Caenorhabditis elegans: one gene and its partners. The protein of the gene in region 3 interacts with the protein of the main gene of each other region in a pairwise test. Each region holds a gene or a part of one and is shown on either strand. Other genes may lie near its edges.

The links. Proteins that work in one complex are often made in the same cells at the same time.
Region 1: the proteins of C47D12.2 (region 3) and pes-1 interact in a two-hybrid assay, tested with the Caenorhabditis elegans proteins (one large-scale study listed by BioGRID).
Region 2: the proteins of C47D12.2 (region 3) and gmps-1 interact in a two-hybrid assay, tested with the Caenorhabditis elegans proteins (one large-scale study listed by BioGRID).

What each region holds. Positions count from the first base shown.
Region 1 is NC_003282.8:5,001,117-5,005,996, forward strand, and holds pes-1 (Forkhead box protein pes-1), read left to right. Parts: upstream 1-1,631; 5' UTR 1,632-1,635; coding exon 1,636-1,732; intron 1,733-1,748; exon of another isoform or gene 1,749-1,769; intron 1,770-2,184; exon of another isoform or gene 2,185-2,205; intron 2,206-3,056; exon of another isoform or gene 3,057-3,077; intron 3,078-3,286; coding exon 3,287-3,373; intron 3,374-3,450; coding exon 3,451-3,513; intron 3,514-3,592; exon of another isoform or gene 3,593-3,613; intron 3,614-3,636; coding exon 3,637-3,873; intron 3,874-3,920; coding exon 3,921-4,231; 3' UTR 4,232-4,370; downstream 4,371-4,880. UniProt on the Caenorhabditis elegans protein: Transcription factor. Plays a role in embryogenesis and later development, perhaps acting redundantly with forkhead protein fkh-2.
Region 2 is NC_003280.10:10,863,172-10,870,329, reverse strand, and holds gmps-1 (putative GMP synthase [glutamine-hydrolyzing]), read left to right. Parts: upstream 1-1,615; 5' UTR 1,616-1,687; intron 1,688-1,887; 5' UTR 1,888-1,938; coding exon 1,939-1,992; intron 1,993-3,157; exon of another isoform or gene 3,158-3,214; intron 3,215-3,541; coding exon 3,542-3,602; intron 3,603-3,720; coding exon 3,721-4,239; intron 4,240-4,381; coding exon 4,382-4,741; intron 4,742-4,789; coding exon 4,790-5,379; intron 5,380-5,433; coding exon 5,434-5,982; intron 5,983-6,033; coding exon 6,034-6,138; 3' UTR 6,139-6,648; downstream 6,649-7,158. Other genes in the region: cap-2 (F-actin-capping protein subunit beta), read right to left, coding at 1-16, 95-220, 266-370, 423-573, 626-739, 788-881, 931-1,048, 1,097-1,099.
Region 3 is NC_003280.10:11,674,358-11,679,715, reverse strand, and holds C47D12.2 (Dymeclin), read right to left. Parts: upstream 3,411-5,358; 5' UTR 3,407-3,410; coding exon 3,264-3,406; intron 3,215-3,263; coding exon 3,068-3,214; intron 3,012-3,067; coding exon 2,803-3,011; intron 2,745-2,802; coding exon 2,657-2,744; intron 2,610-2,656; coding exon 2,368-2,609; intron 2,306-2,367; coding exon 1,818-2,305; intron 1,768-1,817; coding exon 1,651-1,767; intron 1,340-1,650; coding exon 1,148-1,339; intron 1,098-1,147; coding exon 654-1,097; 3' UTR 519-653; downstream 1-518. Other genes in the region: sfxn-1.4 (Sidoreflexin), read left to right, coding at 1-103, 149-515; trr-1 (Transcription-associated protein 1), read left to right, coding at 3,860-3,997, 4,045-4,830, 4,885-5,183, 5,229-5,352.

The DNA of each region.
Region 1 (4,880 bases), on a different chromosome or scaffold from region 3:
CTGTTAGAAAAATACAATTTTCTCTGAAACTTTTCCCACAATTCCATGAAGGGGTATTCAAAAAAAATCTCAATTTCAGAGTAGTTGAGTTTATCAACTGCAAAAATTGAAATTTCTCTTAAAAGCTGAAGAAATGCATTACAAAGGTTATTTAAATCACTTTTACTATTCTGTACGCTTTGCACGGTGCAGTTTTCAACAGTTTTGATTGTCAATTTCACTTGTCCCGGACTCAAAAACTTTTTCATCGCCGGAAAAAGCCGGCCAAAGCCTAACTTGAAGGCAGAAGCCAACATTGTACCAAAATTCTATAATTCAAGGTTGTCTGGATAAGATAAAACAAAAAGTCAACTTCCGAAGAACAAAACAAAAACTTCAAGGTTTGGTTTTCCTCCTTTGCAAATCTTTTTTTGTTATCAAGAATCGTTTCATCTACAAAAGTGGCAAAATTATGATGAAAGTAAACGAGTGTGTGTTTCAAAAGTACCTTAACTTCTTCTCCGTAGTTTCTACCGAAATTCCAATCTTCTGACATTTCCATATTTCGTCTAATTTTCTCATTCCTAATTTTTTGTCAATTGACAAAAATGTGTTGTTTTGAGACCTATTTTCCTGACAAATTTTGCCAACAAGGTAATATCAAAAAGGTGTAAATCCCAATGATTCCTCTTTATCCCACGACAGTCCTAATATTTTTATGGACTCTTCTCTGATTTACAACGATGGTGTTCTGTTGACCTACTGACCGCCGGCAAAGGGAGTTTGAAAAAAAGTATGATATGGGCGGTGGTATTGTACCCCCAGCGACAGAGCAGATGTTTTACAACTCCTCCTCTTCTTATTTGCCACTTTCCTCTCGAGACAGACACCCATATAGTGTGAGGCTGTGAGTATCTTCTACTAATGTTTTTACCATCTAACAGGTGCTGATACTTTTTCTTTTTAAACACTTCCACTTTTTTGTTGCGCTTGTGTTGTACTTTTTGAAAATGATGTAATCTAGGAGGTACCGTGAAAATTTTAAATATCTGTAGATTGTTGAGAATTAGATAAAAATTGTTTGGCGCTTTACCATATTTTTGAAACATTACTTCAAATTTTCTGGTAGTTGTATCGTATAACACTGTTTTATCTTCCCGATAAAAATCTCGCATTCATTGTTTTTTTTCAATTCTGAAATGTCTCCCAAAAAAGTTTGAATTTGATTTCTATTCCCAGATTACTTGTTGAACCACACACGTCGGTTAATTTTACTATCTATCGCCCCGACAATCATACATAAACTACAATTATCAAGCCAATTGTTTGTTTCAATTTTCGACTACTGCGGTTATTGATAATTTACCAAATCTCTAGTTCCAAATTGTTTTCATAAGAACAATTTTAATTTTCCACTGGTTACCTGCTTTGATTTTAAATTTCATTTTAATCAATATTTTTATAAACAAGGCGCTTGAAAAATAGTTCATTACTAATTAGAACACAACAACTCCTAGTTTTGGCATCGTCTGCTTGTTAAGTGTATTCATCAAAACATTTTATTCTGTTTCACAATCTTTTTAATATTCCGCAGTCGGCTTTCAAACTTATTAGTATAAATTGTTTTCTTTTACTACTACATAATAATACATTTAGATGACGTCATCAATCAAATCTGATGCTCCACAATTTCTGCTCGATTTGGATAACTGTTCTTCACTTCCTCCAACACCGCCGAAAACCGCATCTCCAGGTAAGTTGCAATGCTAATACATAGTTGAAGGAAAGCATCGGGGGTTTGAAAATTCGTTGTAAGTACAACAATTTCATGAAACAGTAATTTTTTTTCGAAAGCACAAAAATTTTTTCTAATTTTTCCCAAGCTTGTAAAAAAACTTTGTCGAAATCCCATATCCATTACATAATTGGCAGATGTATATTGCGTCGGTTTATGTGTTCACAGAGCAATTCACACTCATTGTTTCAACTTTTTTGCCAAGTTTGCGCAAAAAGCGTCGGGATTGGTTTCCCATCATTGTGTTGAGTAGGTGCTATGATAGGGTGTGAATTGGATTTGGGTTACGGTCGGAAATTTGCGGAAAAGTTATTTGGGCTCTTCTTCGAAACCATTATGTGTCAAAAACAGTTAATTTATTTCACTGTTTCAACGTTAGTTAAAGACAATAGGTTCTATTCGAGGATTGTTGTAGTATACGAGGAGTAGGAGAGAAAAGTACTTTTTAACCTTTTAATTATTCGTCTAAATAATTTTCCACACAGTCCTAGCAAAAAAAAAACATTTTGCGAAAAGTTCAATGTTTTACATGTGCATAAAAATGTTTAGTTTATTTAGCAAAAATACTAGCATTTAGCTCTATTAATATACCATCTACCGTATATTCTCTATTAGAGCGGCGTATCTAATAGTACGGCGTATCTATTAGAGCGGCACCCTAACTGGCTCTTCGAAAATTAGAGCGACAGTCTCTATTAGTGCGGCACCCCTTTTTTTTTGGGTGCGAGAGCCACCTCAATTATTTGATTTCTTCGAAGACATTTTTGTTCATTCTTGAATGAATTCATAAATTTTCATTTAAATATTGAATTTTAGTGTCTCTGTGAGGCAAAATTACACAATTTTCATAAATTTTTTCCATAAAATATGAGGTTTTAGAAGGAAATTTTGAGGTTACTACTCCCAAAAGTAGTAACTTCAATATGAAAATTAGTTATCGAAAATTAGTGCGGCAGTATCCAGTAGAACGGCAGTCTCTAATAGAGCGCACGTCGCGAAGGGCCCGGAAATTAGTGCGGCATGCCGCTCTAATATAGAATATACGGTACATTTCATGGTTGATGAACGGGCACTAAAGTCCAGGTATTGTTCATGCAGAAGATGCGAGTTGCAGATGTATTTGTCAGCACCACCTGTAAATTGAACACATCACCAGATATCGTGGGTGATGAACTGGAAAAAGTGAGGAGATGGGCTAGATTATACATTTAATATGGGACTGACTTAAATATTTTACTGTTTCAATGTTTTAATAAGTTTTGTTTCCATTTTCTAAACTTGTTTTCGTTACAGCAATTTTTCAACGCGTTAATTTTAGCTGTGCATAATTAAATTTCTTGTTGAGCTGTGTGTGTTCTCTCATGAATTGCTGACTCAAATACTCGAGATGCTTCGTAGAGCTAATTCAAAGTTTACAGAATAGTTAAATCTTTGTTCTTCCAAAATAATCTGATTTCTCTTTCCCTGACACCGACTTTCAGATTTATTTATTTCTGTAACTACAAATTTCAGGTAATTCAAAAATGAAGGGCTTCAACATCTCGGACTTGTGCCTCGACTTGGACAGCTCAACTTCCAGCTCTTGCTCCGTTTCACCAGGTTAATTTTTCTACTGTTTCAAACAGTTTCAAACAACGCTTAAAATGTGCGCATATGTAATTTAATATTTGTTCCAGCTTCTTCCTTCCACACCCGCTCTGAATCAGTCGGTCAACAACAGTCTGGTAGAAATTCACCAGGTAAGGCAAAATATTTTGTTTTTAAAATTGTCAAGTGTTTCACTACTATGATAGTTTCATACATTCAGCAGATTTTTAATTACTATGTTTACCAAAAAATTTACATATCTTTATAATTTTTAGTCTCAAGCTCCACCGAATCACCAACCAAAAGACCAAAATACTCGTACAATGCATTGATCGCCATGGCTATTCAGAGCAGTCCATTCAAAAGTTTGAGAGTCTCCGAGATCTACAAATATATTTCTTCCAACTTCTCCTACTACAAAAACCAGAAGCCACTTCAATGGCAAAACTCGGTTCGCCACAACTTGTCTTTGCATAAAGAGTTCCGAAAGGTTCGAACTTTGGATGGAAAAGGTTTGTGTTTTAACAGGACTTAATAGAATAATAGTGTTTCTTTTCAGGCAGCTACTGGGCAATGACTGCGGATTTAGGAACTGATGTTTATATCAGCAACAACTGCGGAAAGCTTCGTCGCCAAAAAAGCAAAGTGGCCAAGTTTCCACCAATGCAACAACATTTTCCAATCCCTCAGCTTCCAACCCAAAACATTCACCAACTTTGTATGCAAAATCCTCAAATTCTTGCTACATTGCTTCAAAATATGTATCTTCAAAATATGCAAAACCTCCAGAATATCCCCATGGTTCCTGGCTTTCCAATAATTCCAGTTCCCATTAATCCTACCTCCTTTCATTTTCCTAAAAGTTCTTGATAGAATAGCCTTCTGAGTTTTTTGTTAAATTGATTGAAATTAACTGTTGTCCAAAATCAGTTTTTTTGTTTTTTCCCCGATTTGTGTTTAAATTATTTGATTTTGTTGGATTTTGATAAATATTTAGAAAACTAGATTCTCTGTATAAAGCTTGAACTCACCGCAACAATTAGTGAATTAAAGTGCTCCAAAACAAGAAGACAAAGTTAGTGATTTGCATTAATTGAAGGGTTTCCTTCTCTTTTGAACTCCGTGGTTTGTGCAAAACTACTTATTTTCTTCCGCTTGTAGTTTAGAATGCACCCGGGTCAAAATAAAAAGTCTGAGTATATCTTCCGGATTTAATTTTTTTTCAAATGTTTCATTTACAGTGATTTTTCCAATAAACAATAATCTGTAACTGTGCTTTAAAAATTTTCAATCCGTGTATAGATATTTCTCATTCAAAAAGAAATTACCAAGAAGCAGAAACATTCTACTTTGAAGTATTATAATAATTCAAGGTACCAAATTATGCATTTTTTTAAACTTTAGCCAAGGATTTTTAATACATCGAATTGTTTCATATATGATTCACTTCAAGCTGACAAAAACTAAAAAAAATGGCAAAGGTTTCAATGTACCTTTTCAAAAACTTTTAAAGTGTTTA
Region 2 (7,158 bases), 810 kb from region 3:
GGAGATCCGACATCACCTGGAAAATATTTTTTTCGAAAATTGTACTTTTTAAAAATGAAACTTTTTTCATATAATAAATTTGCATTTTGCTTACCTTCTTCGTCTTTCCAAAGTATATCTCATTGATCGTCAGACGCATTTTCGACTCCTGATCCTCAATCATTCGTCCCATATTAGCCAAGTGTGTGTTCTGATCGTTGATTGGTGCATCCATCTCATGCTATAATATTTCTTTTTAAATATATTCACAACTCGAAACCAAAACCTGTCTTGTAAGGGAGCCACCGAGGTTCATCACACCGCTGGAGCTTTTGTTTGTCTGCAGCCACAGCATGATAGTGGAGGTGAGCTTGTAGTGAGCCTGGCGTGCCTGGAAAATTATAAATTAAAAAAAAAAACTCTTCAACAGTTTTTGAACCAACTCTTTCCGTGATCTCAATAACGTGAATAGAATCCCAACATCCTGTTATATTTTTGGCTCCGTCTCCCTCTTTCTTGATGAGCACAATTCCGGCGAAACCTCCATTATCCAAGTCCCAGAAGTAAACTGATGAGACGCCTCCCTCGAAGTATCTGGAAATTATTATTATTTATGAGCAAATATATGATTTTTCTGTCAACTTACAAATCACGGTATGACTCAAAAGCGGCATTTGCCTCGATTTCCATTTTTCTGCGCTTTTCCGATGGCAATTGTCCATCCTCGAGTGGTGGATCATAGGTATTACTCCATGGTGATCTGAATTATCAGAAAAAATCGATAGATTTCAAATAAAATGACTCATACCTGTAGCTATCGCCATCTCGATTGTAGTCACAAAGCAAATACTGTTTGCCGGTCTCACGGTCCGCGGCGATTTTCAGCGGTTGATCGATAGTGCCTAAAACCATCAAGCGAATTTTTTTAAATTAGTTAAAAAGGAAACATACTGAGAAGATCATCAACAAGATGAGGGCACAGATCGATGAGGTCCGTCAAATTCTTGTCGCAGTGTTGTGGAGGAAGTCTTCGCATCAAGTCGAGGGCACAATCGAGCTGTTGTTCTCCCTGGTAAATATTTATTATAAATTGTTTTTAAAATATTTATTAAAATACCATTTTTGATAGTTTCGAGCCGGATGTGGGTGTGCTCCCTGAAACAATAAACTTTTATGTCAGATTTTAAGTCGTTACAACCTATTAAAAACATAAAAAGACTCTAAACGATTGGGTAATGATTTTTTAGTTCACAAATAAGATTAAATTTCGCAAAAATATATTTTAAAAGCCATTAGAAAGCAGGAAAGTTGCGAAACGGAGCGACCACTTCATTGATTTTACACTCCGTTTCTCTCACTCTCTCGTCCCTCCACCGTACCCATAGTCACTCTCGTCGGCAAATCGCGGCGAGACCCGCGAGCTTTTGGCGTTTCGCCAGAGTTCTTCAAATTTTTGTTTTTTTCTTCGAGCTTTTAAATTTAAGTTTTTTCCGTCAATTTTTATGTTAATAAACCGAAAAAATTAATTTTAAATTAATTGACATGAAATTTTCATCGCAAGTTTATCCGTGTTCTGTACATTCTCATCGCTTCATCTCCGAGAAAACACCGAATCCACTAAATTTTGTTATTTCAGTAATTGCAGCCAAAACGAGTCAAAATTGGAGCGCGTCAGAGTAAACGTCACTGCCGCAACCTTCCATCTGAAGTGAGTATTTAAATGTGAAAATTTTGAAAAACTGGGTGAAAATTCGCGCACATTTCTGTAAATTGGCTCCCGATTTGGTTTTCAACGTTAAAAAACGAAAAAAAGCATTTTCAACGTTTAAACGTGCGTTTTAAGGAGGTTTTCATTATAAATTGCCAAAAAATTCCACTTTCCATTGACTTCAAATCATTATAACCTAGCTTCAGCGTGCAAAAAGAACAAAGGCCGTCTCGAAAGTCAGTGAGCATACTATGAAAAGATCGAGTTCAATGTTGGACATCAACGAGGACAGTCAACATTCCACGGTCAGAACTTGTACTTTTCTTTTGATCTTGCCGCTTTGCTAATGGATTTCTTTTTTGAATTTTCGTTGAATTTAATTATTTTATCGCTGCAAAGGGCTTTTACAATTTTCCCTGAAATCGTCACTATAAAAGAAAAGAAATAATTGCAATTTTATTGCATTCTCCGCAACTACATTCTGTTTTTTCCGACTCCAAATAGTTCAAAGTTCTCTAGAATCACAATATCTTCCTCTGAAGACAAAAGATCAGTTGTCACTAAAGCCACATGCCGACTTTTCTGTTCAAGGGGGGTTCCACCATATGTTTCGGCGCTCAAATTACATGTTTTTTCGCGAAAAAAAGCTAATTTTCCTGTAACCTGAAGGGTTTTCTTTTTAAATAAATAAAAATGTTCACGTTAATCCAGTGATATATCGAAACTAGGTGACCTAATTGACGTGGAGTTCAGATTATACCGGCTTTTCTAGAACTTTCTATCTGATTTTCAGGATTACTGCGCCGTTTCTTGATAGTTTTCGTCTAAAAACCGAGTATATTTTAATATTTGTTGGCAGTTTTTGTCTTATTTATCACAATTTTCAGTGAGAATTCCTTGGTTTTTCTCATGGGATAAGCGTTTTTCACTGGAAAATATATTTTCTTGGTAGAAAATTCTCCTCGACGAAATCGTAGTTATATTCTCCCAGCCGAACACTAAAATGCTGGAAAACTAGGAAACTAGGGTCTAGTTGAAAAATTTTGCAATTTTTCCAAGTACAGCAGCACTTTTTTAAAATATTATCTTTAATATGATTTTCCACCATTTCTCTCTCTCTCTCTCCTGACTTTTATCTTTTTCGTCATTATTTCTTTTTCTCTGTTACAGCACTGGTTCTGCTCTCTCCTTTCCTCTTGTCGTCATTCAAAAGGTTCCCTTTGGTTTTGTTTCTCTCTTTTTTTTTCAATCTCTACGTCTCACCACTCTCTCGCTCTCTCTCACATTGTTTGATTTTGATTTCAGTTTCTGTGCTGAGAGAACTTTTCAACTATCTCTTCTTTGTTTTTTGCTGTCATCTTCTTCCTACTCTTGAAGCCGCCCGATGCTCGGTTTTGAGCCACTCAAAGCATTGAGGAATACTGTTTTTATGAAATTATCACCTTTTATTGCATATTTTGGTTGATTTAGGCACATTTTAAGTCGGTAGGCGTCCAATTTTGATGCCTATCTACTTAAAATGTGCCTAAATCAATGAATTAATTAGAGATAAATGACCAAAAGATGCAATTCAGGATAATAATTTAGGAGAAGTTGGAGTAATTTTAGATTTTAGCAATGTTTGGCTACTTTTTTCGGACTTTTCAGGCCAGTTTTAGTCAAAAAGCTGCTCTTTCCAACTTATTTTGCACTCTATGCCCTGCGTCTCTCACTATCTCCTAACAGTTCAGCCATTTTCACTCTCATTTCATCTGCCTTGGCAGCTGCATGTCAGCAGGCTCCACGTTTAACAAGCTCTCAAATTTTGCTCTAAAAAGCCGAAAATACATACCATACAGAATTATAATATTTCAGAACAAAGCTCCACCACCGAAGAAGGCGCCAGAAGATCGATTTGATAGTGCCAATATGAACGGTAAGTAGATAATTTCAATGAAAATGTGATTTTAGAATAAAATAACTTTTTTTTTGTATTAGATTTTTGTATTCACTCACATTTTCATAATTAAGACAAAAACTAATATGTTGAAAAGCTTCAGGAAGTCACGTCACCCTTGTCGAGAATCTTCCAGTTGAGAAGGTTTCAAGTGGCGAACGCATTGCCATCCTCGACTTTGGAGCACAATATGGAAAAGTTATTGATCGACGTGTTCGCGAGCTTCTCGTACAATCAGAGATGTTTCCACTCAACACGACAGCTCGTACACTCATCGAGCTTGGCGGATTCAAGGGAATCATCATTTCTGGTGGTCCCAACTCGGTATTCGAACCAGAAGCCCCGTCAATCGATCCAGAAATCTTCACTTGTGGATTGCCAGTTCTTGGAATTTGTTACGGATTTCAGTTGATGAATAAGCTCAATGGAGGAACTGTAACAAGAGAGCATATCAGAGAAGACGGAGCATGTGAAATTCAAGTCGATACGAGCGTTCATTTGTTCAATGGACTTCACAAAACAGAAACTGTCTTGCTAACTCACGGAGACAGTGTATCAGAGGCTACGGTGGCTCCAGACTTCAAAGTTATGGCCAAAAGTGGCCATCATGTTGCTGGTGAGTTTATTGAAAATTTTATTCACATTTTTTTAAAACAAAAAAAAACAAAATTAAATAATAATTTTCTGATTTTAATATTTACCAATGCTTCTAACCCCTCATCAAATATTCGTACTTTCATCTCAAAACCTTTTTGCAGGAATTTGTAACGAGAACCGCAAGCTGTACGGTGTCCAGTTTCATCCAGAAGTAGATCTCACTACCAACGGCACGAAAATGTTCGAGAATTTCCTTTTCAAAGTTGTCGGATGCTGTGGAAATTTCACTATTCAAAACCGTGAGCAATCGTGTATTTCGGAGATCAATAGCATTGTCGGTGACAAGAAGGTACTCGTAATGGTGTCTGGAGGTGTCGACTCGGCTGTTTGTGCTGCGTTGCTCCGTCGTGCTCTTGGACCAAATCGGGTCACAGCAATTCATATTGACAATGGATTCATGCGTCATGAGGAGAGTGATGCTGTTGAGAAGAGTCTTGCGGCGCTTGATCTTCCGATTCACAGTGAGTTTAAAAAAATTTTTTTAATTCAAAAAAAAAAATTAATTTCAGGGTATAACTTCGGCACAACGTTCCGTTCCAGTACAGAACACTGCAAGGATGGAGAAGTTGCGTTGGATGAGTGTGATGATCCGGAGATGAAGAGAAAAATCATTGGAAATACATTTATTCGCGTAAAAGATGTGATTATGAAGGACTTGAATATCAATCATGATGAATATTTCCTTGCACAAGGAACTCTCCGTCCAGATTTAATTGAAAGTGCAAGTGCTCTTGCTTCGGGACACGCGGACACTATCAAAACTCATCACAATGACACATTTTTGGTGCGAGAACTGAGAAAACTCGGAAAAGTTGTGGAGCCGCTGAAAGATTTCCACAAAGATGAAGTCAGAGAGCTTGGAAAAGATCTTGGGTTGCCTGAAAGTATTGTGCAGAGACATCCATTCCCAGGACCTGGTCTTGCGATTCGCATTCTTTGTGCATCAGATAAGAGGCCGGAGTTGATGTTCAACGGTCCGATGTATAATGGAGATGTGCAAGGAAGAATTATCGATGTTACTGAGCAGTTTTTAAATTCTGCAATTAATCCAAGTCAAGGAATTTATGAACACCTGCAGTTCGAGCAGGCACGGAACAATGTGAGTTGTCACTATTGAAAACTATATCCAGAGTCTATTATTTCTGTTTTTCAGGTTCTACTATCACTGTCTGAAAGAGATCGCCAACTCGCCGAGCAACAAACCTTCCAAATCAGTGCTCACATTCTTCCAATCAAAACAGTCGGTGTTCAAGGAGATGCCAGATCCTATTCGTATGCAGTTGCACTGTCCACCGAGCAACGACCAATTCCATGGAAACTCCTGTTCGCGTATGCTTCAGTCATCCCGAAGCTGTTCCACGGAGTCAATCGAGTCGTCTACGCATTTGGATCAAAAATCGAGTTTTCGATCGAGGACCTGACGAGAACATATCTTGTACCACACATTGTCACTAAACTTCAAATGGCGGATCACATCGCCAATAATATTCTATTCGGACGTGTCGCTGCTTCGGATGGTACGCAGCTGCCAAATGTTGGGCACAAAATTCAACAGATGCCAGTCGTCCTTCTGCCTGTTGATTTTGATCGTGATAGAGATATGATTGGATCATACAGGCACTCGATTGTTCTTCGTCCGTTTGTCACATCGGACTTTATGACTGGTCAGGCTGCGATTCCAGGAGTTCACTTACCGGAAGAGGTTAGTTTTCGACAAACATTTGTTTTTTTTTCTAATCAATTTATATTTCAGACTCTTATTGAAATGGACAAGGCCATCAGAACCAATGTTCTTGGTATCTCTCGTGTTCTTCTGGACATGACCTGTAAGCCACCGGGCACCACCGAATGGGAATAAGCTTTTTCGGACTAAATCGTCATCACTGGCCTTTCTCTTATCATTTTATGGACTGATCTTCATCCGATGCGAAATAATAATTTTCTCAGGTGTCTTTATCATTTCCGCTTCCCTCCATTGTTCTCTTCCCAGTTTTACAGTTCAATTCTTTCTCTATTAGTTTTTATATCATTTTCATCTCTTAAAAGAAAGGTTTTTCAGGTAATTGTTAAATAGATTATTGTTGTATCATGTTGATTTTGATTCTTCGTTTTTTCTCATCCCGGGTGCACTTTTCCAACGTCCTCTGTTCCCTCCCCAATTTTTTTGCTCCGATTTTATGTGTTTTAAAGCGTTAAACGTCAGTTCCCAGTGCCGAGTTTTCAAAAGGTGTCCATCGGTTTTTTTTTTAAATTTTTTATCTAGTGCTCAACGATACCGATGAACATTTCCGAGCTTGGCGTGAATCCCGATAGATTTGATTGATATTCACGGTGCTGCTTTTCTTCTAAATATAAATGGTTCTTGTTGATTTGTTTTTTTGTTTGGAGAAACGACACAATATCATTAGGGCAAAGAAAATTGTCATAATAAGAGCAACAATCTTTGTATCTGGACCTTGTAAAAATATTTTAATTCTGAACTTATGCTTTTACAAGTAAAGTCAAATCTTTTCCAGCAATTTATCAATTTTTCGCGAAAAATAACTTTAAAAAATTACAGTAATCTCTCTTCTTCAATTAAAGGCGCATACCTTTAATTTGAAAATTGTATGAATCGTGCCGAGACCTTTGACCACACGTTGTGCACGATCCTTTAAATTTTAAATTTTTGCACAGGTTTCTGACCGATTTTCGTTCTGTTTTCGGCTTCTTTGTATTTTTTTATTGAAATTTTTCATTTATTTAGGTGAAATAGGTAAATACCAATAAATTTCCATTTTACTTTCTCCCGCCAAACTGAAATTATCAGCGAAAATTCAATTTTTTCCTCTCTTGTCTCTAAGGACATCTGAAGCTAGTCTTCCTTCTGCCAGCATTA
Region 3 (5,358 bases):
TGCTCAAAAAGTGGAAAAATGCTCCGCCGATTCTTGCTCGTCTCGTTCCATTTGCTGCTATTGCATTCGCCAATGCAATTAATATTCCTATGATGAGAAACAAGTGAGAATCAGATTAAAAGACATTTTAATAATTTATTTGTTTCAGAGAATTTACAAATGGAATTCCAGTTGAAGATGGTGAAGGTAGAACAATGGGATTTTCAACAGTTGCACCTGGTCATGCTATTCCACAAGTTGTGCTCAGTCGTGTTGGAATGGCGGTTCCAAATATGGTTCTAGGACCAGTGATCTTGGAGCAACTTTCCAAAACTGCATGGTATACACCTGGAATGGCTGCACCTCTTCAAACATTGCTCTGTGGATTCATGTTGGCTTTTTCCACACCAATTTGTTGTGCTCTTTTCCCACAGAAAAGCTCAATTCAAGTTGATAAGCTGGAGCTTTCACTTCAAGATCATATCAACAAGTTGGCAAATCCCCCGAAAGTGGTGTACTACAACAAAGGACTCTGAACTCAATTAGATAATAGATTTATTGTACATTATTATGGTATCTTATGATCATCACATGAATAAGGCCACTTATCAATATTTGCGTCCGAATAAATACTACCGGCATTATGCTTACCGATTAATAAAACAATTTGAGGGTCAAGCAATACTTTGGGCGTTAAATATTTTGATTCTTGATGTTTCGAAGTAGATTCCCGAATGTTGAACAGATAGCCTCCAGACGTATGGCACAAAGAAATCGACAGTGTACTCATCCTCCACGTATCGGAACTTCAATTCTGGGAACTTTGCGAGTCGATCGGTTGGCCATATGTTTGCCTCCTTCTCGATTATTTGCAGCATTGTGGATCCATCGCCTGCTGGGACATGTATCACTTTCGACGAGAAGTGAGAGATTACTGCTGCGATGTTAACAAGAAGATCTTGGAACATTGGGTGCTGAACGTATGCATCGAATAGAGCACGATGGTAGAGAAGGTTGTAGATGAGGTGTGAATTGTGACGGAGTCCTCCACAAAGTGCACTGTTGATGATCTCAAGGAGAGTTCGAATTCCTTCTTCGAGAGCAGTAATGTCGTCATGCTGAAATATTATACTTTTTATTTGGATTTTTGAACAAAATATGAACTTACGAAATTGATCGGCTGTCCATCTGCAACATCATTCTGACTGCTGACTCTCATATGATCCACCATTTTAGCATGCCGTTTTGTTAGAAGATCAAGCAGTGATATGAGTCTTTGGCAAACAATTGGAGCAAGATTTTTGAAGAAAGCTGACATGTTTGCAAGAGCAGCTAAGCAGTTTGTGTGAAGATATCGGTCCTGGAAAAATTTGAGTTTGGTTTAAAAAAAAACAAAATTTTGTATCTTCAGGTAGCAACTGTCGGTTTTTCGCTTTTTCAATTGTTCGATTTTTCGATTTTTAAAAAAGGAGCTTGATATATTGGCCATTATTCTTCTTTTTAGATGAAACTTTTATGTTTGTTCTTATCAATATAAACAAAATTAGATAAAAAATCATATTTTATGGTTAATTTTCTGAACATTTTTTTCGATTTTTCGATTTCCACTGAAAAACGTCAAAAAATCGAAAAAAAAATTGAAAAATGACACCCTTGGTAGCAACAACTAACTCTAGTTTTCAAAGCATTCTTCTGAATTGCTCGAACCAGCACAAGAGTTGTCAAACCTCCGAGAGAGATCTCGCGGACACTGAAATCACTGTCCAGCCAGCCGAGATCCTTGATCATCTGCAAATATATACTTCAATATAATCTTAGCATTTCTAGTGAAAACTCACCGTCTCGTGTATAATCTTGCAGAAAATATCATCTTCACTGAGAATCAAGGCGACAATCAATGCAAGATAAACATGGTGAGAGTTGTTCGATGTCGCGACACCGTCGTGAAGAATTCGAAGAACAGGAACAACTAGATTCTCGAGGTTGATCCGAGACAACACATAGTTCCGGAATCCCGAGTTCGCCTGTAGAAGCATGTAGAGTAGAAGCATCGGAGGTTCCTGGCCAGCGGTAGCACACAATCTTTCGTATAATCCATTATAATCGATTTTGAACGACACAATCTGAGTAGGCAATGTGGATACTTCTTGAGCATTTTGGAAGAGAGCAAGGGTTTCTTTGAATGGATTGGATGAATTGAGAGGTTGATGGCATGAAAGATTGAGGAGAAGCAGGATGCTTAAGTTTCCAAGAGTAAGTGGGGGCTTCTTTTCTTCCTCTGCGGAGTCGATACCAGTTGCCATTTGGACCATTGACCACATTGATGCTTAAAAATCGTGTTTTTTTTTTAATTTAATAAAGAATTAAAAAAGATTTTCAGTGACATACAAGCTAATCCAAAAACAATGCTCTCTTGTGGCTTTTGTACAGTCATGTGATACTCTGAATTGTGGATCAAATAATTGAGAAGAAGAGTTTTAGTGAGCGAAGCTGCGTGTTTCGCACATGATCCATCAATAAAGAATCTGAAGACAATTGAAGTATTCACAATTGATTCATTATATAGTTGAGAGCTCAGGAGAGTTAGGAGACATCGAACTGCTTCGACATGGATTGCCAATGTTGTTTCGCTGAAATTATTTTAATTCAATTTTTTAAAAAATAATTTAAAACTCACTTTACAGAAATATTGATTAAAATCGAAACCAGCTCATACGTGAACTCTTCTGCAGTGTTTTGAAAAACTATCGGGATATATTTTGTCGCTGAAAACGTCAGAATTTGATTATTATTGAATTTTTTTTTTAAATGAAGCTTATTTACCTCCATTATTATTTTCGTTTTCTGATTTCTGTTCGTCATCATCTTCCTCATCCGACGAGGAAGATGTAGACGACGATTCGGTTTCCGTACTCTCATGACTTTTGGCGAAAATCCTCACGAATTCTTTTTCCGTCATACGTTGAGTTAAAAATCTGGCGATGTAACGAAGAATGAGAAGAGCGTTTGATGTTTGCCATAAGTAGATTTTACTGAAATAAGAAAAAGCTTTAATTAAATATAATGATGATTTTTTTTTCCAACTCACTTTTCGCATTGTTCTGATGTTTTTAGTTCTGTGGCTCTGCGAAGGAAAAGTCGAATAAATGCAGCGAAATTTCCTGTTGTTTGTGTATTGTACATTAGACATTGAAGATGATCATCTAAAGCAGATTCCAAAGCGATTCGGGTGTCTCTAAACGATTATAACATTTTTAAAGCTTTTGCCTAATTTTAATCCTTACTCGTCGTCATCATCAAACTTGAGACTGAAAGAGAGAAGTTTGTTCCAAAATGGGTCATAATCGTCGACAGGTTCCAAACCGCTGAGTTTCTTCAGATAAATATTCTCCTGTAAGACCGTTTCCTTGGTTATAACTGATCCCATGTGTCTGAAATTTGTTATTACACTGTTAATAATCATAAAAATAAAAGAAAAAGTCAAGAAAGGGTCAAATATTAATCAGGTCACATCTTTTTTATTCAATAAAATCTCCTCTCTCGTTCGTGGCAATGCACGTGAAATGCGCCAACAACCGCGAGTGCGCCAACACACACACATACGCGTCAGCAGACAATTCGCTCTCGTTTGAAATTTAGTTGTTTCTTTGTTTCTGCTGAAATAATGTCAGTTTTCCGATAATTTCAGCGTTTTCTGACTGATTTTTCTTGTTGCATTCACTTCCTAATAGTTCATTCTACTCCATTCTTCATTTTATAATCTGTTTCCTTCGCAATTTAGTGAATTAAACACGTAAATCTTGTTTCAGATAAATTATTCAAATAGTTGCACAAAGCTCAATAGTTTAGAAGTATCTTCAGTGCTGGTCACTAATACAAAATGGATCCGGCTATGGCTTCTCCAGGCTATCGGTCTGTGCAGTCCGATCGGAGTAATCACCTAACAGAGCTGGAAACGAGAATTCAAAATCTTGCCGATAATTCACAAAGAGATGATGTCAAATTGAAAATGTTACAAGTTAGTTTCAATAATTCGTGTTAAGTAATCAATTTGTTCGGTTGCAGGAGATTTGGAGCACAATCGAAAATCATTTCACACTAAGTTCGCACGAGAAAGTCGTGGAGAGGCTCATTCTCTCGTTCCTACAAGTTTTCTGCAACACAAGTCCACAGTTCATTGCTGAAAACAATACACAACAGCTTCGAAAGTTAATGCTTGAAATCATTCTTCGACTTTCGAACGTAGAAGCCATGAAACATCATAGCAAAGAAATTATCAAGCAGATGATGAGGCTAATCACCGTGGAAAATGAGGAGAATGCCAATTTGGCTATCAAAATTGTCACCGATCAAGGGAGAAGTACCGGCAAAATGCAATATTGCGGAGAGGTTTCACAGATAATGGTCTCCTTCAAAACAATGGTCATTGATCTGACGGCGAGTGGTCGAGCTGGTGATATGTTCAACATAAAAGAGCATAAAGCTCCACCGTCAACTAGCTCCGACGAGCAAGTCATCACTGAATATTTGAAGACTTGCTACTATCAACAAACGGTTCTTCTCAACGGAACGGAAGGAAAACCGCCATTAAAATACAATATGATTCCATCAGCTCATCAGTCAACGAAGGTGCTCCTGGAGGTTCCGTATCTCGTGATTTTCTTCTATCAACATTTCAAAACAGCGATCCAAACCGAAGCGCTTGATTTCATGAGGCTTGGTCTTGATTTTCTAAATGTCAGAGTTCCAGACGAGGATAAACTCAAAACAAATCAAATAATAACCGATGATTTTGTCAGTGCACAGTCCCGATTCCTGTCATTCGTCAACATTATGGCTAAGATTCCAGCGGTAAGTTTCGTTTTTTCAAGTTTTTTTTCTGTAATCCTGATTTTTATTTTTCAGTTTATGGATCTTATCATGCAAAATGGACCGCTTCTAGTGTCGGGAACAATGCAGATGCTCGAGCGGTGCCCGGCTGATCTGATAAGTGTCCGACGAGAAGTTCTGATGGCTTTGAAGTATTTCACATCTGGAGAAATGAAGTCGAAATTCTTTCCAATGCTACCTCGACTCATCGCTGAGGAGGTTGTTCTGGGAACAGGATTCACTGCGATTGAGCATTTGCGAGTTTTCATGTATCAAATGCTAGCAGATCTGTTGCATCACATGCGAAATTCTATAGACTATGAAATGATCACACAGTAAGTTTGAATAAGACTTTCTGATGAAAAATGTTGAAATTTCAGCGTGATTTTCGTATTCTGTCGCACTCTTCACGATCCTAACAACTCTTCTCAAGTCCAGATTATGTCTGCTCGGCTGCTCAACTCACTGGCCGAATCTCTGTGCAAAATGGATTCACATGATACCGTAAGA